3 linked regions of the Caenorhabditis elegans genome follow. The protein of the gene in region 1 interacts with the protein of each later gene in a pairwise test. Each region holds a gene or a part of one and is shown on either strand. Other genes may lie near its edges.

Region 1 (10,569 bases):
CCATTTTGGTCCCATATCAATGAATGTTGTACCATTCCTATCCATATCAATATCCCACCACATAAGTAATGCATCAATAGTTCCAGATGAATGAGCAACTGCTTCACGAACAAAAGACTCATCGAAAATTATTTTCTCTTCGTGTTCGAAATCAAATTTGAAGGCAACGATCGGCTCGGATAGTTCTCGAAATTCGTGGGTTTTCATTTCAGATAGTTGAACATCGAATACAGCCGCAGTTCCAGAACATCTTCCCAGGGGTTCTTCATCTGAAAATTTTCAATTCTCATAAAATCCAAAAAAATGAAGCCTCTCTGAACCTTTTTCTCCATTTAGCCTAGGAATATCATTGAACATTTTTAACAGATGGCTCTCCACAGGAACAATATACACATTTCCAGTTGATGGAACAACTCGACATCCTGGTTTCGCAAGTCTTTCAAGAGCTTCTTTGAATGTTCTCAGAGCTCCTTCTCCAATTAATTCTGTGTCAAATACCTCTGCTACAATGATATCTGCACGTGAACCACCAATTTGTGAAACATCAGTAGATCTCTCAGAAATTACAGTAATCTTATCTGACCATGGACTATTGCTTGTTATATGTCTTGCACAATCTCCCATTGGTTTGAAAACTTCCAATGCAGTCACTTTATCAGCTCCTTCTCGAGCAGCCATTAGTGAAAGAAGTCCAGTTCCAGTACCTGTAAATAGTAAACTTTAAAAACCGAATAAGTTGAAAACTTAACAGCTAACCAATATCTAAAACATGAACTTTCCCATCTGTATTTTCATGTTTTTTCTCAGCAATCGTAGTTTTTAATCCTGCGAGGAACTTGTCATTTCTATCAAAATCCAGAATCATATCTCCAAATCGACTTCTGAAAATTAACGTTTTAAAGCAAGAAAATGCGAGAAGTATTGTTTATTAAATTTTATTTCTATGCGGAATATTTTTTTAAAGTTGAAAACCTGGCAAGTTCCTGAGCCATATCATAATCCTCTTCAGCCACAACCCATTCTCGTTCGCCGGTTTTTTGATTTATCTTCTCAAGGAACATTTTTCAGAAAACCCTGCAAATTGTCTATCTTAAAGATATGCTCGTTTTAATGATACACTCAAGATATTTGCGATATGCACACAACTGCCAATTTACCACTTTAAAATCCAAAGAAACGAAATCAAGGAACGGAAGACTTATTTTTCATATTTGTTCAAATAAAAGGGGTTCATGCAATAAAAATAGTGCAATCAATTGGGAAATTGGGAAACTATACACAAAAATGTAAAAATAAATATGAAATAAACAGGAGCCAGAAAATGGAAATCAATGGGAAAGAAGTGGTGATGGGGACAAAGTACACAATTTCGAAAAATACCGCATTTTGGTGGAGGGATGGAAACAATATTTTGATGGGCCGAGATTAAATTGGAAAAAAGCTTCTAAAAACTCACTTTTTGAAAACTAAATATCTCAAAAGATCAGAAAGCGTTACTCATTTTTTGTTATGTAAAAATATGATAAGAAAACATTATCATTTTTTAAAAGTTTCCTTCTGTTTATTGAAACAGACAGCGTTAAAACTATAACTCTGGGTATTTTGAGATTTTTCTCGTGAGCGGAGAATTTAGAAACATTTTAAAATTTAAGCGGTACGAATTTTGCCAGGCACGTAGTTTTTGTCAATAGTTGGCTCCTGGAGGAAAATATGGAGAGAGCGTTCGTTTTGAGCAAGTGGATGTCCAGCAACCCTGCAAGAACATATTATTAAAACTTTTAGAAATGTGAAAATTTTCTGAGTTCATTTTGATGTCCGTATAGTTGAACAGTTTTACGTACTTATTGATGAATAACTCGAGAGCTTTGCGCCTATTTTCAATGAATTCCTCTTCAAAAATTCCATCATCGGATCGGAATGGCAGTTGCCGTTTGAATGATTTTCCTGGCAACGTTGGAACCACAATCTTGCTATCTCGCTCTAGTTCAGCACGAACCCATTCGAAATCACTGTATCGGCGACGCACGCTTGATTCTTTCTGCTTGAAAACGGGGAGATTCGACTGAAACAACGATTTTATTATGCGGTCAGTGTTAATCTATACTTACTCTCATTCTGATTTCGTAATCCGTGTAGCGCATTTTTCCAACACCATGAGTGATAGGATTGATAACCTGCAAGTTATCTTGATCTAATTCATTGATTTTTATTCAAACCTCAATTTCAAGGAAGTTGGCCGGCGGGGCATATGCCTCGTCCAGCGTTTGCCGTTTTGAAGGGATCCGCTGAGTTGCCGACGCGCCGGATGCCATTTGCACTGCAAATATTCTAAATTATATCAAAGTTGCTTTGAATTGTTTATTTAAGTATCGATTTTCACAATATAAACAAAATAAAAGTGAAATTTATGTTGGAATCCAAAGCTTTAATCGACAACATGCGAGAACATCGTTTGCTTTTTGTTTCGCTGTTCGGCAAACTAAAATGGAAAAAATAATATGAAGCTGTGAAAAATCAATAAATAAAACTGGAATTTCAAGGAAATTACGGCAAAAATGACTCATCGCGCGCCGATAAACAAAACGAATCAAGAAATGAAAAAAGTGGCAAAAGTACGCAAACACTTTTGTGTTAATGCACACAAAAAATTCAACCGTACCTCAAACTGAAATTTCAAAAGCAGACACCGCAGATTCATGGAATGAAAAAGCAGTGACTCGCTATGACTCAAAATTTTAAAAAGATTATAATTGATTCAAAAGCAAAAAAATGTTTCACAACAAATCTATGTTGTAAAATAATTGTTAAATTGAAAATTAATAGCTGACACCGCCCTGTGTCCGTGTTTCGTCTTCTTCGAAACTTTGTTTTCGTTCAAGATGGCGCGGCGCCGTTCTTTTTGAATAAAAAGAGCATTTTAAAAATTTTGTTGAATTTCTGTAAATTCTACTTGTTTATTCAGTTGTTCTGCGAAATTAAAGATTTTCTTAGTTTTCAGGAATGCCAAAAAAAACGTTCGAAAATTTAGAAGATAGTCATGGAAAAGATGTTAATATCCCAGTTGAACTGCCAAAAAGGAAACGAGAAGTTACACCGGAAAATTTGTGAGCTTTTATAAAAAATTCAAATTTTAACACATACCGTATTCCCTCTATTAGTCTTGCATGCAAGACTAATAGAGGAAATACGGTAATAGTCATGCACCCCTATTCTTGCCAGGCCAGCAGTATTTTGTCAAAACTTCAAAATTTTCGCCATTTTTTAGCTAAATTAAATTTTAAACTGTTCAAGTAATTGATAAAACAATAGAAAAGCATGTATTTTGCATGATTTAGACTGTTTCAAGTCAAAATTTTGACGATAAATGGCCAATTTAACAAAGCTATTGGATCTTCGAAAATTAGTCTTGTAGCCTCTAATAGTCTTGCAGTCCCTATTAGTCTTGCACCCCTACGGGTCTATTGAAAATTAGTCTTGCATGCAAGACTAATAGAGGAAATGCGGTATATTATTTTCAGACCTTCCACAAGCTCTACTGCTCCAACACAAAAACGGAAAAGTCTAGGATATTCAGGACGAACGGAGGAACCGAAAAATGTATTAATATTTTTAGTTGCAATGAAATACAATTCGGAACTTAATTGTAATTGTAATTTTTAATGTTTTTCAGATACACAAAACCTTCATTTCCCCTTTTTCTACGTCAGTTTCTCCTTCAAAACAAGGTCTTCGACGACGAAAGAAGGCACTGCCTGCCATAGAACCACCTGTATCTGTAGAAGAAGCAAGTCCATTACGTTTTGTGAATATCGATGTATTCTCTAGACGTATGGCTTCCGAATCATCAGATCACGATGCTATGATTGCGAAGTTGTTGTCGAGAAAGTTTTCAATTCCGATGGAGGGATATATGTGTAAGAAAACATGTAAAAATGTTTATTTTAAACGAGTTTTCAGTATCTGGTCGAAGCCTAGGTCTTGGTGGAAACCGTCGAAAATGTGCTCTATTTGATCCATATCATGAAGGTGCATTGATTCTTTATGCTCCTGAACATCTTAGTGAACACGCACAACTCAAGGAAGATAAGGATCGAAAGGTGAGAATTTTAGCTGCGAGAATCGAAAAAAAAACATGAATAAAAAAAACGACTCAAATATTGCAAAAATATGAATGTCCATTTTATCAAATTTTTCAGGTGCACGTGGTAGCCGATCCGGTTGTTGGAAAAATCCTGCGTCCGCATCAAAGAGATGGTGTTAAATTCATGTGGGATTGTGTGACTGGTATTAATATTCCCGAATTTCATGGATGTATTATGGCTGATGAAATGGGTCTTGGAAAGACACTTCAATGCATTTCTCTACTTTGGACACTTCTACGACAAAGTCCCGATGCGTGTCCAACAGTTTCGAAGAGTATTATCGTTTGTCCAAGTAGTTTGGTGAAAAATTGGGATAAAGAAATCAAAAAGTGGTTGGGAACACGGCTGAATGCGATGCCAGTGGACAGTGGAAAACGAGAACAGATTATTGCTTGTCTCAGTGAGTGAATAAACTTGAAATCTTGAAGAAAATGTTATAAACCCCTGAAATTAAGTTAATTTTCCAACTTCAGATTCATTTATGGCGGATTCAAAAATGCGTTGTGCCATCCCTGTTCTCATTATTTCATATGAAACATTCCGTCTTTATGCGAATATTCTTCATTCTGGAGATGTCGGAATCGTTATTTGTGACGAGGTAGATACTGTATTGTTTTGACTCTATTTAAAACGAGCTTTTCAGGGACATCGACTCAAAAACAGCGAGAATCTGACGTATCAGGCGTTGAGTGGTCTCAAATGTGCTCGAAGAGTCCTGATTTCGGGTACACCTATTCAAAATGACTTGTTAGAGTATTTTAGGTACTATTTGTTCAAAATATTCAATTATTTTTAATTAACTTCAGTTTGGTCAATTTCGTGAATCCCGGACTTTTGGGTACTGCAAGTGAGTTCAGGAAGAAGTTCGAGAATGCTATTCTAAAGTTAGTTATTTTTATTCCCAATTTTTTTAATCCGTGATCTTTTCTAGAGGTCGCGACGCCGACGCAAGTTCAGAAGATCAGAAGAAAGGTGAAGAGAAAACGAAGGAAATGATTTCACTTGTAGAGAAATGCATTATTCGAAGAACATCAGCTCTTTTAACAAAATATCTTCCGGTATGATATGAAAGTTTCTGATTTCTAAATAAAATTATTTAATTTCAGGTTAAATATGAGCACATCATCTGCTGTAAAAACTCAACACTTCAAGAGACACTCTACAATAAACTTATCGAATGTGAAAAACAAAACCGCATTGTCGAAAAGGACAAGGTATTTTGTTTGAAAATTCAAAAAATACAAATAAATTGTTTTTAGGGTGCCACCGCATCTGCTCTTTCGTTTATCACTCATCTCAAAAAGCTTTGCAATCATCCATATTTGGTTTATGATGAGTTTCAAAAACCTGATAATAGGTTCAGAAACAGTGAGTTTAGAATTTCAGATTTATAAAAATGTATTCAAAATCAAGAAAAAATCGGAGCATTTAAAATCGGAAAAAAAAGTTCAAAATTTAACTATAAATTTCAATGTTTCGTAAAGCTTTGTTTATGCTGATGAAAAAAAAAAGAAAACGTATAATATTCTTCAGAAAAAACCAAAATTTTAAGATATTTTTCGAAAATTCAAAAAAATTTTTAATATCGGAAAAACAAAAAAAAGGTTTCGATTTACGATTTTAGTGAAAAATCGAAAAACCGACACCGTTTTTCACAAACTTCTGAAAATAATTTTCAGAATGTCTATCCATATTCCCTGAATCATTTAACCCGAAATCATTTGATCCATCGTTTTCTGGAAAAATGAAAGTTCTCGATTATATTCTCGCAGTCACTCGCAAAACAACTGATGACAAGTTTGTTCTCGTATCAAACTACACACAGACAATTGATCAATTTATGGAGGTAAGCGAATTTCCAAAAAAAAAATGATTTATGATAAAAATCTAGACCGACTTAAATGTGGAGTTCGCTTCAAAAAATCATAAATAGTCTCAAATTCAGAAAATTCACAACGGAGAAAACGAAAAAAAAAGTCAACTTTAAAAAATCAATTTTCCATGTTCGGCTAAATGTTCTGTTTGAATTTCCTTCAAAATGAGAAGCCCACTTTCCAAAAAAACAAGGAATTTAAAATGTCGATTTGTTTTTTTTTTCGCGATTTGTTTGCTTTCTTTTGTGGGTTTTTTGGAATGTATGACTATTTTGGATTTTTTGAAGCAAATTCACCACCTTTAAAATCTAGACCGACTTATAACGTGGTCACTTAAACTTTGAAACTTCTTCACTTTTCAGCTGTGCAAACTTCGTGGCTATGATTTCGTGCGCCTTGATGGTTCAATGTCAATCAAACAACGTTCCAAGATTGTCGATACATTCAATGATCCAGCCAGCACTATCTTCTGTTTCCTTCTTTCTTCGAAAGCTGGTGGATGTGGTCTAAATCTTATTGGAGCCAATCGATTAGTTATGTTTGATCCGGATTGGAATCCAGCGAATGACGATCAAGCAATGGCGAGAGTTTGGAGAGATGGACAGAAGAAAATGTGTTTCATCTATAGACTTTTAGCAACTGGATCAATTGAAGAGAAAATGTTTCAACGTCAGACACATAAAAAAGCATTGTCATCGTGTGTGGTAAGATTTCCTCTTGTTCATATAATCTAAAAATGTTCTAAAGACTACTAGAACTAAAATGTTAAATTTTGCGATTTTGTCAAAAAATTCGGTTCCCCGCTTCGACTTTTCTCAAATGCAAATGAGTGTGCGCCTTTCAGGAGTACTGTAGTTCTCAATTCCTCGTTATCGTGAAACTTTTTTTTAATTTTTTGCTATTTCTTTTTCGCCTTTTCAAATACTGTATTACATGTATCTTAATTTGCTGAAAATTCTGAAAAAAAACCTAGAACCACGGTACTCTTTAAAGGCGCTCGCCATTTTTAATTGAAAAATTGGTCGTGTCGAGACGCGGTAACTAACTTAATTTTAGAGTGAAAATTGCAGATTATTATGTGGTTATTATTATCAGTATCTGGGTATTTAATAGTTATCTTAAAAATTTCAGGTTGATGCGGGTGAAGACGTAGCTCGTCATTTTAGTTCCGAGCAACTTCGAGAACTCTTCAAGTTGGAATCAACAGTGGCATCGGATACACATGAAAAGTAAGTATCAGAATGAAAATAATATTTTTTATAAAACCGATTTTATTTTTGGTGAATTTTTCTTCTGATAGTTATAATAATGTTATGCATTATAATGTACAATTGTATAAATTTCTTTCAGATTAAAATGTAAAAGATGTATTCAAGGAGTTGAAAGTGTTGATCCACCAACCAATGCGGACTGTGCAAGTGATTTATCGAATTGGTTTCATTCTCAGAAATCAGCTAGAAAAGTTTGTATTTATTATCTTTATTTTTAAATATTTTAATTTTCAGGTGGCTGATAATGTGCTCCGAGCCGTCTTCGAATGTGGATCGATCTCCTTTGTTTTTCATCAGAAATCGCACAACGTAGGTTTAAAAAAACTACGTCTATGGTGCCAAAATTACCAAATATAATAGTAAAATGTTTCAAAAAAAAGTGGAAATCAAAAAGTGACAATTGCTCAGTTTTTGTCACTCAAAATTTTGGAAGTCGACTAAAACAATTTTCCAAAACCGACTGGATTTTTTTTTTGGAAATTCTTTCGAATTCTAGTTGTGTAGTTTATTTTTCTAATTCTGTAATTTTTAAATTGTCTGTGATATATAATTTAGAATCATTGAATTAATATTTCCATGCTTCAAAATAGCGTTTTGCAGGTTGAAGTCAAGAAAGTTCAGGAAAAAGTTGAAGAAGTTGATGAGGACTACGTGCCTTCTGAAGCCGAAGAAAACGACGATTAGTTAAATGTTTCCAAGTTGAAACAAATCTAGAAGTCTCCCTATTTCATAACATAGACTATCTATGCGATGAAAACGGGACATGTTATATTGTTTTGTTATTTATTTAATTTGTTTCTTTCAATTTTTGTTCCAAGTCATCCCAATATCATTTTTATCGCCCGATCTCATGTAAAATACACCGCCTGCAATATGAATTTTCAATTTATTTTTCAAATTCAGACAAAAAAAAGACAAACTTTGATCAAATTGTGGGTGGGTTGGAAACGAAAGGGGTAGTTGGTAGTTTTTTTTTGCACAAAAATACATTGATACGATGTACAAATTTTCAGAAAAAAAATTCATGAAAAATGTTGAGAAAGAGGAAAAAATTATGCAAAAAAAGACATTATTTTGTAATTTGAGGGAAGAAATTATGCCTATTATTATAATAAAAACTTTAAATTTTCCGGGAAAGGTCAGGCGCCAACAGGTATGAAATGAATATATTATATTTTTTGAGCTTTGATGATGTAAATAAAACGGAAATGTTGATTATCGATCGATTTTTTTTTCAAATTTGAAAAATCAAAATCGACAATCTTCGACTTAGACAATAAATATGCAAAATGTCGCAAAAAATTCAATTTTTTGGGGGAATATTTTGGTCAGAATCAGTTCACTTTTTACAGGTTTGAGTTAACCTATTTGAGGTAATTGACTAGAAGAAATTTTTTTAAAAATATGGAAAAGTTACAAAACTACTAGGCGATTTTACAACTATTTAAATTTAAAATTTGAAGAAAACACTTTTTTGTGGCTTTAAGAATGGAAGACACCAGATGGAGATGAAGCCAAGCAATGTCTGCACCTGTAAAATGTTTGGGTTACTGTAAGGTTACTGTAGCTATGAAGTTCTACATTTTTAAGGTGGTGTAGAGTAAATGGAAAGTTCGCTTTTAAAATATCCAGAAGAAAATCAGTACAAATGAAAAATACCTAACTCTAAAAATTGGGAATGAATTTCCTCCAATAGGAAACGCCACGCCCACTTCTAATTTCATTAGTGCAAAAGTGGGCGGGGCGATTCGCTGATTGGTCTTGCAGTTCTTATTTTTCGAGGAAGTTTCAAGATATTTTTTTTTTTAATCATAATTTGAAAATCGAGTAAATTTTTTTTTGTTTTTGTTTTTTTACTTTTTGGAAATTCAGACTAGTTTGGGTATTTTAAAGAAAAATTCCCACAATACTACACCTCAAAAGCAATTTAATTTTTTAAAAAGATTATTAAACGCTATTAGCGTACACTAGATTGTTCAAAAATTAATTTTCTGAAAAAATATTATTTTCCAATGCATTGGGAAGAAGACTCGTAATTTTTACTCAATTTTTCCTTTAAAATTTTTTGAAAAAAATTTCATTACAACTCATTTTCAATAATTTAAGTTCACAGACGTTATTTAATTTTTTGCATAACATTTTTTAAATTTATTTCTCTAAAGAATTCAGATCAAAACTTCAAATACTTACCTATAAGAAAGAAACATTGGCGTAGAGAAAAACGTGAAGAAAACCGAAAGAAAAGTGGGCGGGGCTTGTTGATCCGTTTTGATAATTGTGAAATTCGAGCTCATTATTCATTTTTCATGCATAACTCGTTTTCAATTTTGAACATACGCACTGCGGTCGACACGATGTGGCTCTCCTTCTTCGTGGTGTTACTTGCAACTGAAATATTTAACATTATTTAGGGCAACGTTGAACTTTTTGCCGAAGAGTTGTGAAATATATTATTTTGTATTTGAAAGTGCCAGTGGGGATTTCGTCAAAATATACTCGGAATGAATTAACAAGAGAAATATCTTAAGTAAAATGATTTAGAATTTTCGAAACATTTATTCATAGTTTTGGTAAATTGCCAAACTTTTTGAAAACTTGAAAACTTTGAAATTTAAAAATAAAGTCAATCAAGTTAGAACCTCTAAAATTTTCAAATATAAATAGTTGAAGCATAATACTTTTTGAAAACCTAGAGAAAAAACTTTTTAAATCGACTTTTAAAGTTATGATAGGTGCAAATTGGCTGTGCGTAATTGCATATTTTTTTACTGAAACTAAAAAAATTCAAAAAATGTGTGGAACTATTGTTCTATAATATTCGGTTATCTTAAAACTATACATATAATTAATTAAAAAAATTTCCTCATTGTCACGGCTTGCCCAAGCTTGGCCCAAAAAAATAGTTTATGTTAAATATTTGGTTATGAGTGTTGTTTTACAAAATTCCCAAGGACGATGCCTTGAACATCGACTTGAATTAAGTTAGTTCAGAAACTCTCGAGCTATTGAGTTACAGTAACCGATATTATTTAATAATTCTCTATTGCACGTAGTTTTCAATATTTAAAACAAAAGTCTTACCTTATCCAAACACGGTTGCTCATTTGTCGAATAATGCACCGTTATTAAATTCTCAAGAGTATCCAAAATGACTTCAACTCTTTCCACTTGTTGAGGTGTTACTGATGGTTCTGTTGGAGCAGGAAATGTTTTTTCCAACTTTACACAACGTTTCATTTCTATCAGATATGCACCAACACATCCAATAAATAATGATCCATG
Region 2 (6,779 bases), on another chromosome or scaffold:
GCATGGAGAAGAGGATCTAAAATGAGCGATGACGTGGAGAAGCAAAGAAAGAAGAGCATGAAAGAAAAGGAAAAAGAGGCAAATGGTGGATCTAGGATGAAGATCAGAAAAGATAGTAATAGTTCGAAGAAAGAGGATATGGAACATGGAGATTGGTGGATTGTGAGAGTTGCAAAGGTAAAACTATTTCACTGTTCTGAACAAATTCAGTATTATTATATTCAGATGGGCTTTGAAAGCTGCTTCCAACGACGTCGGATCACGCCGAGTCCTCCGCCAACCAATGAAACTGACTTGAAGTCTCCGGTGAATGCTAATTAATTTTTTTTCGCCAGTTGACATTTCCATTGATCTCATTGTCGTTCACAGTTGTGCAATTCAGTCTGCCCAGTTCACATCTACCAATATTGAAGCCTGTACATTCCTCCACCCACCGGTTCTTTTTTTATGACATTGTTTTTTTTCAACTTTTTTGTAATGTGTTTTTTTTTGAAGTTGTACATCAAAATCTCGATTATTCAATTCAATTTGTAGAATACATATTTATGATTATGTATAATAAAAGAAAAAAAGAAAGAATTCATACAGATGCATGCATTTGATCGAGATTTCGGGGAGAAAAAAATAAGTGAAGTTAAAAAGAGTTTAAAAGAATTTAAAAAAAAGAATGAATGCTGTAAATTTTGTTGGTTTTACCCGGTCGTCCACTGAAATACAGACACACACCGACTCAACCAGAATCGATGGAATTGGTGAAATGAAAGAAAAAAGAAAAAATGACAAAAAAGCTGATGAAATCGTGAAATTAGTTTGGCTGGGACACCGTCGCGTAGATCCAGTGGCATCCGATCATTCCTTCCTTCGAGTCGTGAAGAATAGTGTTCAATGTCTTGGCATCCAAATTATTGATTGGTCTATCGAAAAGACGGGCGGCAATGACAAGTGGGATCTCACCGGAACGAGCACGGGAGCTGACAAAGAGATCCCAGAGCTGCTCGGCACGAGAGGCGTTTTGATCGAGGAATGGGAGAAGTTCGTTTTTGGTTGGAAGGCACACGCGGAGGGACAAGTCGCTGTATGATCCTGCCGAGAGTCCCTGCAATATATGTTTTTTTCGTGATATGTTCTAATCAAATTGTATATTACCGTGGTAGAGCATTGAGCTGGCTTATCGGCTTGGAAGATTTGAACAAAGTTCTTGAGAGATCCTCCCATAGTGTGACAGATGTCGCAGTGAACACTGAAATCAAAAGGTTTTGATGAGACATTTCTATTTAACTTTTTTGAATATAAAAATAATTTTGTATTGCCAACACACTTCATCTCATCATTACATATGATATTTTATTTTTTGAATAAAGCTTGTAAGTTGAACAAGCCGACCAGGGATTCATAATTCAAAAGTTCGAAGTTGATGTTGAAAAACGTCCGATATCTTCCGAGGTTAGCCATAAGAGTCTTTATTACATAATGTTTTATGCTGAATACAACCTTCTGAACTTTCAGTTAACCTTGTTCAGATTGATTTCAGTGTGTATTTTTAGATTACTACCCCCAAAAATTAGTTTTAAAACTTTGAAGCGCAATCTTCACTCTGACTGGTTTTTGTGGTACACGTTCCGACTTTATTCCCTCACCATGATCCGATTCCTCCACACCCATTAGCATCAGCATTTACGCATCGTTCTGGCTTTCCGTGGATTCCGATTCTTGTCTCAAGATGCACATAGTATTTCTTGGAGCCATTTAGTCCTGGGGCATAAACCTAAATTGATGAAATGTTTATTCTGGTTTGCAACGAGCTGATCACTAACCTCAACTTTGCCACCGGACATTCTGAAGCATTTGTGTCCATTCTCTCCAATTTCTTCGTGGAATTGAACTCCGGCGGTTTTGTATGATGGGAACTTGATGAGCAAAGAATCTTTCTTTGGACCTGAAAAATTGAAAATTGAATTCAATAATTAAAAAATAATAATGTTTAGGAGAGCCTTCATAATTTATTGAATTTTTTTTAAAGAGATACATACAGTCTTTTGAATTTTCCGAAATTGTACTAGTTACGTGACCTTTCGCATTTGTGTGATTTATTATCAACTTATAAAATCGAACACAGTGCTAGATTTGTCAGTTTTTTTGCAAAATCCCCATCCTTTTCCGACCTGGGATTTGGCGAAGCGTTCCACAAAACAGGAAATAATGGAAATAGAGATAAAATAAAATCGGGACGTCAGTTTTTCTTTCTGATAGCCTACCCCCTCTACTCTGTTATCGATATCATTGACGATACAACAGTATGGCGTCTCCAAGGCCACGCACTTCCTAGCCGTCGGCTGCAGTTCGATCAATTTTTTTTTCTATATCCCTAATCAAACAACTGATTGGGTCGCCGGGTAGAGCAATGTCTCGAGAAGCTTTGGATAGGTGGACAATTGAATTAAAAACACGTTTTTTTTGTTCGCAGAAAAAATGACGTGAGTAGACAGTCAATGGACTATTGAACTAATTTCAAGTGTCTAATTTTATTGGTCAATTGGGAAAAAAACTGGATTTTATGAAAAATTGAAGTGTTCACCTTTGTTGATTATGTTGTATTGAAACAGGGAACTAAAACATAGAGTTTGAATGGCTAAACAAAAAGTATACAAGTTGATTTCGACGTGAAAATTTTTGACCCTCAAAATAGTTAAACTTGTAGCTTGAAATCAAACTTTATCCCAAACAACATATCAGATTTCCGTTGATGCATTTTCACTATTTGTTTTTGTTTGTTTAAACCGTACGCTTAATAGCTAATGGTATAATATTAATTGCTAATGGCATAAATGAACACGGTTTTTTGGGGCGCTTGTGATTTGCAAAGCCTACAGTAATAAAAATGATCCTATTTAATAAATACCAATGAATGTTTTCTATTTAGTATTTCAAAGTTCAGATATTCAAACATTCAAAAATTCGGGGACACTAAAAAGTGTTTCGTATCATAATTTTGGAGTTGGATTTTAAACTTGATAGTGGTTCCTTGACCATTTCACTATAAATTAAGCAACATCAAAAAATAAAAAAAACTGAAACAAACCTGAACTAGCTGAGCATGGGAAGTGTCTTTCGATGCGGACAGAGATCTCCGAGGAGGCGGCTGAGACGCACGCGGCAACGGCACACAACAGTACGATTCTTCGGGTCGTCATTAACGCAAGTCGTGTTTCTCGACACACTGGCCACTGGAGGAGAAGACGTCGAAGTCGTCGACGTGATAGGATAGAATACAGTGGGCGGAGTGAGTTTTGTTTCGCGAAAGGCGGCTGCCCATACACCTACCTAGGCACGCGACCCCCACCTCTCAGAGAAAACGAAACAAGAGTAAGGTGAGGAGAGTAAGACGACGGCGACCCCCTGAAATAGAAAAAAGAGTGATCTGACACCATTGTCACTTATGTCGTCACAACAGAGATAGTTGACCTTTTGAAACTTGGGGTTTCTTGAACTTTAGTGAAAAATGTAGGAAGTGTCATTTTGAATGGAGTTAATCTTTTGGCATTTTCTAAGAAACTGCTTGTATAGTGAAGTGTATAGAAGTGCTCTTGTTCGACAATTAATGTATTATCCAGTCGTTTTTCTCTTATTCCCTTTACTGTGCATATGAAACTAAAAGTGTCTCAATTTTCTGATTGTATCCAATTTGATATACGATAGACATAAAAGAAAACTATAGTGTTCTTGTGTTACCACTTAACACAACCGTCCAATTTATCGTTTTTGTGAGTTCCTACCCGAATTCGAAATGTATTTCAAACATAAATAAAAAATATTAAAGTGATACTTGTAATGTTGAAATGCCTACTCTTCTTTCTTAAAAGCAGTACATTGGATTATTGCTTTATTAGTCTCAAAATTGTCTGAAAACACCGAATTTCATAATGAAACTTGTTAAAAACTTCTCAAAAAAAAACCTAATGACGGCTCAAAAAATGACCTAAAATTGTTAAAATTTGAAATTTGATCTACTAGTCAATGTCGCAGCGGGTGGAAACAATTTTTCTTTTTCTATATATTGACTGTTTAGCAAGTTTGGTGTTTTATGTTTTGTGTTGCTTTGATCGACTACGAAAATTGAGAAAACCAAGAAATGAACCAGAAACCTCAAAAACAACTGCTGGCCCTCTTTTTATCAGTGACATCATCTCTACGCTCATCTATCAATATGAGTAATTATGATCATTATGTTTATATCTTGATGTAGCCGTTAGATAATTGAGTCTTTAGCTAAGTCTATCGCATCAATTAATAATGACGTTGACTTTGAAAATATAGGTTTGGGTTAGTTTACGTTTGTATTTGGGTTTACACTATTTGTGATTTATGGGTCAAATTTTGAAGTCGCTCAAAGAAGTAGGTAGATCATAAGCTTTACACTGTTATGGTTTTTTTGTGTAAAGCTGTACAAGTAAATGAGGCAGAAGCCAAACGAGGGAACAGAACAATGAGAGGAGAAGTTCGAGAAAGCTGGTATCAATTCGCCTCCTTTTTTTGGCGATTCTTTGTATTGCAACGATCTACGTCATTCTACTCCACTCATCGCTTTTTTCCTTTTTTTCGGCGTCTCGCATTTTCTTCAAAAGCATCAAATTGAAGATGGCTAACCACACGAGAACAAAGAAAATGGCCACAACAGAAAGGAATGCCGTACTTTCAATACTACTGTTTCATTGTGAATACTGAATGCGAAATTTGAAATTGCTTTTTCTCAACTGCTATTTCAGGTTTTCAGAACATCTGACCTACCATTAAAACATTAATACTATTCAACTCTTGTTCAATTCAAGTGAAGTAAAAAGTGAAAATATCAAAACTGGTTGTTTTTTCAAAGTCTGAAGTACTTGAAAATTAAATATCTAGAGGGTAGATAAGTACAGAAAAAATAGTAGAATATTGACTGAATCAAAATTCTTGGCCACCAATTGCTCATAATTTCAGCTTGATTTTTTTTTAAAATTTGTGTCCAATATTAGTGGCAGAAAACTGAAAAAAAACCTTGGATTTGCTTTTTAAAACTTAGTGGCACAAATCACAATAGATCGAACGTCGCTGTGTTTTATCTTGAAAGGTGTATTTCAGATGATGAAAAAGTAATTTTGACATTTTTGAAAGAGCGAATATTCATATTTCAAGTTCGGACGGATTTACTGTATTTAAAAAATACGTCATCAAACTTTCGATTTGCCGAAAAGTTTAGTCAGAGATTTGGTATTATGACTGTTTGAGCATTTGCAATCATGATTTTTTTTTGCCAATTTTAGTATAATTTTAATATTTTCAAACATTATTCCCCTGCCAGGAAACTCTTCCTTTAACGAGTAATTTCATGCTGGGAAACAGGTAAACATATAAATAATGTTCTTTTTGAAGTCTTGCTGCTTATTAGAAAAATATAAAATATTTCTACCTGCAGTCGATTGTAATCTAACAACATCCATAATTGTTTCTTTTGGGAAACCGATTAAGATCCACAGGGTGGCCGATTGTCAGCGGTCTTGTTCTCTTTATGGCAAATGAGTGGTAATTGAAAAAGATTAATAAGAAGAATAATGGGTTTACCAAAAATAATATAAAAATGAAACTCTCAATAACAGTAAACTGAATCATTGGTATCAAAGGGCAGGTCTTATAATCATACATTTTGAAGATTGATTACCATGAGTTCAAGCACTTTACAAAGTTAGTATTGCAATTAGTACTGAAATATATTTGTTTCAAACTCCCAGTATTTTAATAAATGTCTTCAAAAAATTGAATTTTGTTAATAAAAATAGTGATCTCTCGGAAATTAGTTTTGCAGACTTCAGTCATTCTTTTTGTTTGCGCCGAACAGCTAGCCGCCCTTTTGCTCACTCTTAAGGAAGCTCCAATGCTCTTGATAAGTGCATAAGCAAACGCAACATGTCCATCAAAAGCTAGCTTATTGTCAACTCGGAGAAACTTCTTGAAGATCGCTGGGTTCCATGGTGTAGCGGTTAGCACTCAGGACTTTGAATCCTGCGACCCGAGTTCAAATCTCGGTGGAACCTATCTTTTTTGAATATATTTATGGTTTGTTCTGGAGGTTTTTTTAGTTGTACAAACTCTGTTGCAAGTGCTACTGTAGTTATCAATTAATCGGGTAGAAACAATTGTAGCAACAGAATACACTAATTAAGTTTCACACAGAAAAAAGATGTTTACCAAAGATAAAGTTTTTGAAACCCGAAAAAAGGTATATGGAAACTACATTAACACAGAATTGTTATCCATAAAACTTTGCTATCAGAATTGACATTTAGAAATGTTGATCGCTGCGATAGACACTCTTTAGCACATTGTAGCCGCTCATGTGCTCACTGCTAACTGAGCGACTGGGCCTTCCCGATAAGTGCATTAGCAAACTCAGCATGTCTATTAACCGAATGTTCTTTCGGAGCAAGTTCTCGAAGCTCACCGGGTTCCATGGTGTAGCGGTTAGCACTCAGGACTTTGAATCCTGCGACCCGAGTTCAAATCTCGGTGGAACCTATCTTTTTTGGATAAATTTTGATCTTTTCTTGTCCATTGTGTCATTTCTATAGTGAGCGGCACTATGGTTATCAATGAGTTGTAACAAAATCATACATTTTTAGGCTCCATGGAACATTTATATTAACAGTCGGTTTTTAAGTATAGCTCGCAAGATAAAATGTGTAACCCATAATATAATAAAACAGGTTCTTGCTCTGAAAATATTTGACTAATTTAAAAATGTAATA
Region 3 (7,222 bases), 5.2 Mb from region 1:
TCGATCTCGCAGCTACCGTACTTTCAAAAATCACAAAATACTAACATTTGACTAGGAGCTCCTAGGGATGCAAGATAAATTGATGAAATCAAAAAAGAGAAACATCACTGTAAACGTTTTCAAAATCACAAGGAAAAGCAATTAGAAATTTCTAGAGCATCAAAAACTATGATAAGGATCTTTTGATAACAATAGTGACCCCCGCAAATGGGGGAAATTCAACGAAATTCGTTGAAATTTAAAGAGCAAGAGGTAAATACTTGGGTATAACTTGGGCCACATATTAAAATGTTAATTTTTTTAGTTAAATAAAATTTTCCAAGCCAAAAAAAAAAAAAAAATGAAGAAATAAAACAATTAATTATATTTAAAATTTAATTTTAAAATGTAGAGTTAAAATACACAAGTAAATATTTTCCAAACAAGAAAATATAAAATATATCAGTGTAATTTTAAAAAACACTTGAAAAAAAAAACCAAAATATAATCAATATTTTTTAAAAACAAGTTCATTCACAAACTCAACCAAACACACAACAAAACAGACAATAACAAAAAAAATAAATAGTGTGATGGTGGTGATCATGAAGAAAACAGGTGAAAGTGTATAGGTTTAAAGAATTAGAGTTTCAATTTAAAGAAAAAATGAATATATAAATAAAAAGTAAGAATCTAGGCCTTCGACGAGTTGTTCGTTTTCAGATTGTGGTCATCCTTCAGCTTGTTCAGCTTATCACGAGTAGCATCTGTAAAATAAAAATTGACATTTAATAATTTGATTAAAAACTCTAAAATTAGTACCGTGTTGAGTGGAGAGATCCATCAGCTTCTGCAGCTGCTTCTTCATAATAAGCTCAGTTTTCTCCAGCGGGGTCTCGGTTTTCGTCTTCAAAACTGTCGATTGCATTGTGTTAAGTGACTTGGTGATTTGATCGAGATCGAAGTCCGCACATTTCATTTGGGAATCCACGTTGAGCATCATTTGAGCGCTGGAATTTTTTTTTGAAATTATTATTTTGATTTTTAAGGGGAGTAAGGTCCAGGGCTGTCGCTTTTTGCTTTTTTTCTTTCGTCTTCAAGACTGTCGATTGCATTGTGTTAAGTATTTTCGGAACAAAAAACAAAAAAAATGCTTTCAAAAAGTTTTAGTTATTATGATTTTAAAAAAAACCTGTGGATTTTTTTGCTTAAATATTCAAAAACTCTCAACAAGAAAAAAATCTGATAGTTTTATGGCAGGATTTTGCGAAATTTTGTCAACTTTTTCTTTGTCGCAGCGGCTGAAATATAGTTTTTATCGAATTATCCCGATTTATTGCATATTTTGATTATTTATCTGGCGTTAATTCGTTAATTTAGTCATATTTTAAGTCGATAGCTATTCAAAAATTACGAAAATTGGATGCAAATCGAGCCAAATCAACGGAACAGCGTGAGATAATCAACCAAAGCATGCCAAATAGGGCAATATATGAAAAAAAATCAATTTCCATCGGCTTTTACAAAGAAAAAGTTGGGAAAACTGAAGTTTTTAGCTAAATTTAATATATTTCTTAAAAATTTAATCCATTAAAAATCAATAACTTTGACGTACATTTGCACTCTCTGAACATCATGTCTCGACGCAAATCTGCTATCAAGTGGGAATTTGTAATCAAGAGTATGCCATTCTGGAAGGCTCAGCTTGTTCTCTAGCTCAACAACATTTTGCTCAATATCGTTCAAGACAGAAGTCATGGAGGCGACGTTGAAATGCAGTTTCTTGCAGCTTCCACTCAAATCATCCATCTCATTGTACAATCCTAAAACTTTTGGCTCGAGTGTAATGAGCTCACGGTCATAAGCATTAAGCTCGAGCATTTTATTATGGAATACTCGTTCCTGCTTCGCAATTTCCGAATGATAACTATTGACAACTTCTTGAAGGGCGGTGAAGAAGGCTTTTGTATCATTTCCACCGAGTCCTGCTTTGATTTCTTCTTCAGAAAGTGTGTCGCTTCCACTTGCACCAATTTTCAGGCCTGCAGATGTAGTTGCAGCTCCTTTAAGTCCTGATGTTGTCCATCTGAAATTAAGAGTTTTTTTTATATTTTTAAAAAGTAAACCAAAATGTACCCAGTTCCCTTAGCCAATGGTGTTGAAGTGAGCCCTAGGCCAAGTCCAAGAGTTGGAGTAGCTTCTGCTGGCTTTGGAAGAGTGGAAGTAGTGCTGGTTGTGGTTGGAAGAGATGGAGTTGCTGACACTGTAGATGGAGTTTGTCCCAATGTAGCGGCAGTAGCAGGTGTTGTTGTAGTTGCTGCTCCAAACAATCCACCGGTCGGACCTACAGTTGCTGGTGCAGTTGTAGTCGCAGCCCCGAACAGGCCACCAGTCGGAGCTGCTGCGGCGGGAGCAGTTGTGGTTGCTGCTCCGAATAATCCACCAGTCGGAGCTGTAGAAGCAGGCGTAGTTGTGGATGAAGCACCGAACAATCCTCCAGTAGAAGCCGCTGGAGCTGCACTAGTAGCTGTTGTGGTTGCTGGAGCTGTTCCGAACAAAGATCCAGTAGCTGGAGCTGATGTGGTGGTTGTCGATGATGCTCCAAAGAGTCCTGCTGTTGGTGCGGCTGGGGTCTTAGCAGGAGTTGACGATCCGAAGAGACCTCCGGTTGGAAGTGAAGCGGCCGGAGCAGCGGCGGTAGATCCGAATAATCCCCCAGTTGTAGATGAGGTTGGTGCTGCGGCTGCGGCGGTGGTGGCTCCGAACAATCCTCCAGTTGAAGCTGCCGCTGGGGCGGTGGCAGGGGCTGCCGCAGCGGTTGTAGAAGCACTAGAATTACCGAACAATCCAACAGATGGAGTGGATGCTGAAGCAGCACCAATGCTGAAAAGACCTCCAGTAGCAGCGGCGGGAGCAGTAGAGGCTCCGAAAAGACCACCAGTGGCTGGAGCGGACGAAGGAGCAGATGTTGGTGCTCCGAACAATCCTGATGTGGCAGTTGTAGTTGCAGCGGTGGTTGCAGGAGCGGTAGAACCAAAAAGACCTCCCGATGGAGCTGCAGGCTTTGGAGCTGCGCCGAATAGTCCACCAGATGAAGCTGTCGCAGCAGGTGCTGAATTTCCGAATAATCCAGAGGTTGGAGCAGCATTGCTAGTAGCTGGTGCAGCCCCGAACAAACCACCAGAAGGAGCTGGGGCTGTGGAAGTTGGAGCAGCTGAAGATCCGAATAAGCCGCCGGATGGAGCCGCTGTAGAGGTGGAAGTGCTTCCAAATAGTCCTCCTGGTGCTGCTGGAGCGGCCGTGGATCCGAATAATCCACTTGATGGCGCAGCAGTTGAGCTACCGAAAAGCCCGCCAGTTGGTGCAGTTGTTGCGGTACTTGTGGATGATCCGAACAAGCCGCCAGTTGGAGCAGCTGGTTTATTAGCTCCGAACATGCCAGCACCAGCTGATGGTGCGCTTGCGCCAAACGTTACTGTAGCAGGTGCTGCTGAATTTGCAGAACTTCCAAAAATGCTCGTTGAAGCGGGAGCTGGCGCCGCGGCACCAGAATTTCCAAAGATTCCAGCAGACGCTGGGGCTGGAGCTGCAGCAGAGGAGCCTCCAAACATTGAGCCTGAAAAATTTAAAATTATACTTTTTGAATACGGGAGCGTATTTTACAAGTTTATTAAACCAAAAACCTACCAGTAGCTGTGCTGTTTCCGAAAAGTCCAGTACTTCCAGTGCTCGGCTGTGCGGATCCAAAAGAAAAACCTCCGGTAGTATTCGTGTTTCCGCCTAAAAACGAAAAAAATAAATTAGTTGAATTTTTCATCGATCGATACCTGTGTTCGCTGTTGATGTGCTCGAATTACCGAAAGAAAATCCAGATGAGGCTGTTGTGGTAGCAGCGGTTCCTCCGAAAATCGACGGTTTTGGTGCAGATCCTCCAAACATTTGATCTGGAATGATATTTTTAATATTTTTAAAGGGCAGCAATATTATTTGACAAAAAGAAAACGACAGAGAGGCAGAAAATAGTCATTTGAGTGCACAAATGAGCGCGTCGAGATTCGAAAAATGATTTGGTGGTCGCGCGAAAATGATGGCCTAAAAACACCGCAGACTAGGCCGGCGGCTGGGAGGAGCACGCGACGTCGGCGTGAAGGAGAAAAATCGAAGATAATTTCATGTGCTGCAGTTAGTTTGAAAATATAAATATTTTTGGGCCCGAATGTCTTTGTGGTTTCTATTGCTATTCTAACTTCTCGATTACAACTTATAATATTGATCCATTTTTTATACTGATATTTTAAAAAAGTTATGAAATGTGAAGAAAGATCTCGATCATCGAAACGATGAGCAAGCTTCTGAATATGCAAAGTTTTCTATCACAAAGGGGTAAAAACGCGGGAGAACCTTTTTTTCCTGCTGACCAAGTACTTTTCACGAAGAAATACTTTAATTTTTGATGAAAATAAAAAAGAAAACTATATACAAACTCAAAAATCTAACAACTCTCAGCGATCCACGCAAATTAGGAAATTGAAAACAAAAAGAGAAATTTGTGTACCGTAGTCCGAACACTTAAAGGCGCATGCCTCACCTTCAGGGTCTCGCCACGATCCACTTCCCAAGGGTTTTATTTTTATTTTTTTAGATTGTTTTTTTTCGCGAAATCAGTTATTTTTTCGGTGAAAAAGTATATTTTATTGCTTTTAAAGTCAAATAACTTTTATTAAAATATAGTTTTAAATTATTTTGACGTTATATGAGTGAAACATTCAAAGTCCACGTGCTCTAAAGTCTGATTTTAAAAAAAAGTTTTTTTTTATTGCTTCGCCAGTGAATTCGCTGACACGTAAAAATAATCAATATTTTTAATAGTTCAATTTCCTCATTGTTGAATTATTTAATCCACGATGCATTGCACCGAGTCCGTGAGAGCTCTTTATCTGCGGCAACACTCTCGCATCGAAAACAGAGAGAGAGAGAAGCAAATCTATATCCTCCCGTTCTCTCTCATCTCCTTCACTTTCTCCTAGTGTCCACTGTCATCATTTTTGCCTCCCATCACTGCTTTTTGTCCTCTCGTTCGCTTATTTTGATATGGTCATCAGCAGCATAATCGGGGGGTCGGAAAATAATCAATATATTTTATTTTCTTTTACGAATCCTCTTTTTCTTAGATGAAATGCTCCTATTTTATCAAGCTACCGATTTCAGTTCGACTAATGGAATGATTGTCGATTTAATACAATCAGCTCGACAGGGTGAATGGGCCCAAGTACGCCAGCTGCTGCTCAAGCACTGGCTTGTACAGGTCCCAGAGGTGTTCGAAGTGAATTCGGATTTGCCATGGGACAATACAGCCGCGAATGAACGAATTCTAGGTGGGTTTTTTTGAAAAAAAAAACATATATATTAAAAAGCCAATTTTGCTTCAGGTTCCCAAGGAGAGATTCTCCTAGCCCCACTGGTCAGTGCATTTGTACTAGACGTTCGGAACACAAAGAGCACACTGGAAGCAATGAATGGCATTGCCGGAGTTGATCCTGCAAGACGGGGACAAATTTGTGGCCATGTATTTAAAAACGGAGAACTTACGTATACATGTCTGGATTGTGCCACTGATGGGACATGTGTCATGTGTCTTCAGTGTTTTGAAGTTTCAATTCATAAATCTCATAAATACAAAGTGAGGATGCCTCAAAATGAATCAATTTCCACAGAAAATTTCTGAAAAAAAACATTCAGATTTTAGCCGAAACTTGCCCTTTTTCTCGAAATTTTAAACCAACATAGACAAAATCTTGAAAAGTTTTTGATTATTTTGAGCGAATATGAATGATAAAACACGCATATTTAAGTAAATCCAATTTATAATTGAAAAAAAATTTCCAGATGCACTCTTCCTCCGGTTCGGGATATTGTGACTGTGGTGATGCAGATGCATGGACAGAAGGTTACGCATGTGCAAATCACGAGAAAAAGGACGATGAAGAGGCGGCAGTGTTGGCTCCAGAATTGAAAAAACGATGTGAACAGCTGGTGGAAATCATTTTACAGTTTTCCCTTTCAATGATCACTCATAAAGATGATCTCAAACTTCCCGAAATTTTCGAGAAAATGAAGCCAGAGGTTACAAATGAGGCACAGCAATATTTGACGGTTCTTTACAATGATGAAACTCACACTTATGAATCTGTTAGTAATTAATATTCCGAATTTCAATTAAATCTTCAATTTCCCCGTTTTTTCCAGGTGATCAAAGTTCTGGAATTGTACATACATTGTACAAAGGATCAGGCGATGCTTGTAGCCACAATTGTCGATCGAGAAGGTCGAAGTGCTGTGAAACTTGGCAGTAAGGCTGATTGCACCAAAGCTAAGGATGATGTTCAGAGAAAAACAGCTCGAGATCCAACGTCAATTCGAAGATCATCGAATCATAATCTACCGTTAAGTGTTAAGGTTATGGATACCACGCTTTTCGCGCTTCAGAATTTTTCGATCTCCCTTCTTACTTGGCTCAACACACAGATGGATGTTTTTCGTTAGTTTTTATTTCTTTTTATTTCTTTTCATTATTCGAAATCGTGTTTTTATTTTCAGCTCCCCTTCGCGAAATTGTTGGAGAAATTCTGCTGAGTTCAAAGTTTGCACTGAAAAAGAATTACACGCGGAAAATGAAGTCAGAGGATCAACGTCTAGTTGCCGGAATTATCAGAAATGTTATGGTTTTGCCGGATGATGAAGAGGAAGAACTATTCGCACTTGATGGAAGAATGGATGTTGATGAAATGGATGACGACGATATTGGTGGAGAAGCTCTGCAAATGGAAATTGACGCGGATGATGAAGAAGAGATAACAGCAGCGTTGGCAGGAGTTTCAGAACATCAAGAATCTCCAGGTCCTTCACGAGATTCTTCAACATTCACAATGCTAGAGAATATTCTTCTCCAGGATACACAAATGTGGAAAGCTGGAAGATCGATTTTGCATCAAATGCTCATGCGGACAGTTTTCATGATTTATGATCAGAAAGTTCGATTTGCAAAGGCTTTTATGCTACATTATAATGAAATTTACGAGGATTTCATTAAAGATGATCATGAGATGGATGTTTCAGTTGTTGGGTTATCAGTTCAATTCATGACTGTTCCTAGTCTGGCTCGGAAACTTGTCGCCGAAGATCAAGCATTCAGTGTGATATCGAAAGCGATTCGGGATCAGACTGATAAATTTGTGAAGTGTGA

Evidence for each region.
Region 2: the proteins of rad-54.L (region 1) and gmap-1 interact in a two-hybrid assay, tested with the Caenorhabditis elegans proteins (one large-scale study listed by BioGRID).
Region 3: the proteins of rad-54.L (region 1) and npp-11 interact in a two-hybrid assay, tested with the Caenorhabditis elegans proteins (one large-scale study listed by BioGRID).

The regions. Positions count from the first base shown.
Region 1 is NC_003279.8:9,062,087-9,072,655, forward strand, and holds rad-54.L (DNA repair and recombination protein RAD54-like), read left to right. Parts: upstream 1-2,992; 5' UTR 2,993-3,000; coding exon 3,001-3,104; intron 3,105-3,518; coding exon 3,519-3,597; intron 3,598-3,670; coding exon 3,671-3,914; intron 3,915-3,957; coding exon 3,958-4,097; intron 4,098-4,196; coding exon 4,197-4,542; intron 4,543-4,615; coding exon 4,616-4,740; intron 4,741-4,785; coding exon 4,786-4,904; intron 4,905-4,948; coding exon 4,949-5,026; intron 5,027-5,073; coding exon 5,074-5,200; intron 5,201-5,248; coding exon 5,249-5,356; intron 5,357-5,401; coding exon 5,402-5,510; intron 5,511-5,821; coding exon 5,822-5,988; intron 5,989-6,378; coding exon 6,379-6,720; intron 6,721-7,147; coding exon 7,148-7,245; intron 7,246-7,366; coding exon 7,367-7,478; intron 7,479-7,521; coding exon 7,522-7,596; intron 7,597-7,887; coding exon 7,888-7,971; 3' UTR 7,972-8,178; downstream 8,179-10,569. Other genes in the region: prmt-7 (Protein arginine N-methyltransferase 7), read right to left, coding at 1-269, 321-704, 757-881, 973-1,061; snx-3 (Sorting nexin-3), read right to left, coding at 1,648-1,753, 1,842-2,062, 2,109-2,174, 2,217-2,312; rsbp-1 (Abi_C domain-containing protein), read right to left, coding at 9,592-9,675, 10,369-10,569.
Region 2 is NC_003284.9:12,931,705-12,938,483, forward strand, and holds gmap-1 (GM2 Activator Protein family member), read right to left. Parts: upstream 3,275-6,779; 5' UTR 3,192-3,274; coding exon 3,080-3,191; intron 1,937-3,079; coding exon 1,815-1,936; intron 1,766-1,814; coding exon 1,638-1,765; intron 1,241-1,637; coding exon 1,147-1,240; intron 1,097-1,146; coding exon 806-1,096; 3' UTR 501-805; downstream 1-500. Other genes in the region: C34E7.3 (uncharacterized protein), read left to right, coding at 1-177, 226-321.
Region 3 is NC_003279.8:3,814,775-3,821,996, reverse strand, and holds npp-11 (Nsp1_C domain-containing protein), read right to left. Parts: upstream 3,924-7,222; 5' UTR 3,919-3,923; coding exon 3,807-3,918; intron 3,760-3,806; coding exon 3,667-3,759; intron 3,596-3,666; coding exon 2,116-3,595; intron 2,066-2,115; coding exon 1,595-2,065; intron 990-1,594; coding exon 802-989; intron 747-801; coding exon 673-746; 3' UTR 501-672; downstream 1-500. Other genes in the region: E3 ubiquitin-protein ligase ubr-1, read left to right, coding at 5,201-5,354, 5,409-5,659, 5,866-6,168, 6,226-6,517, 6,577-7,218.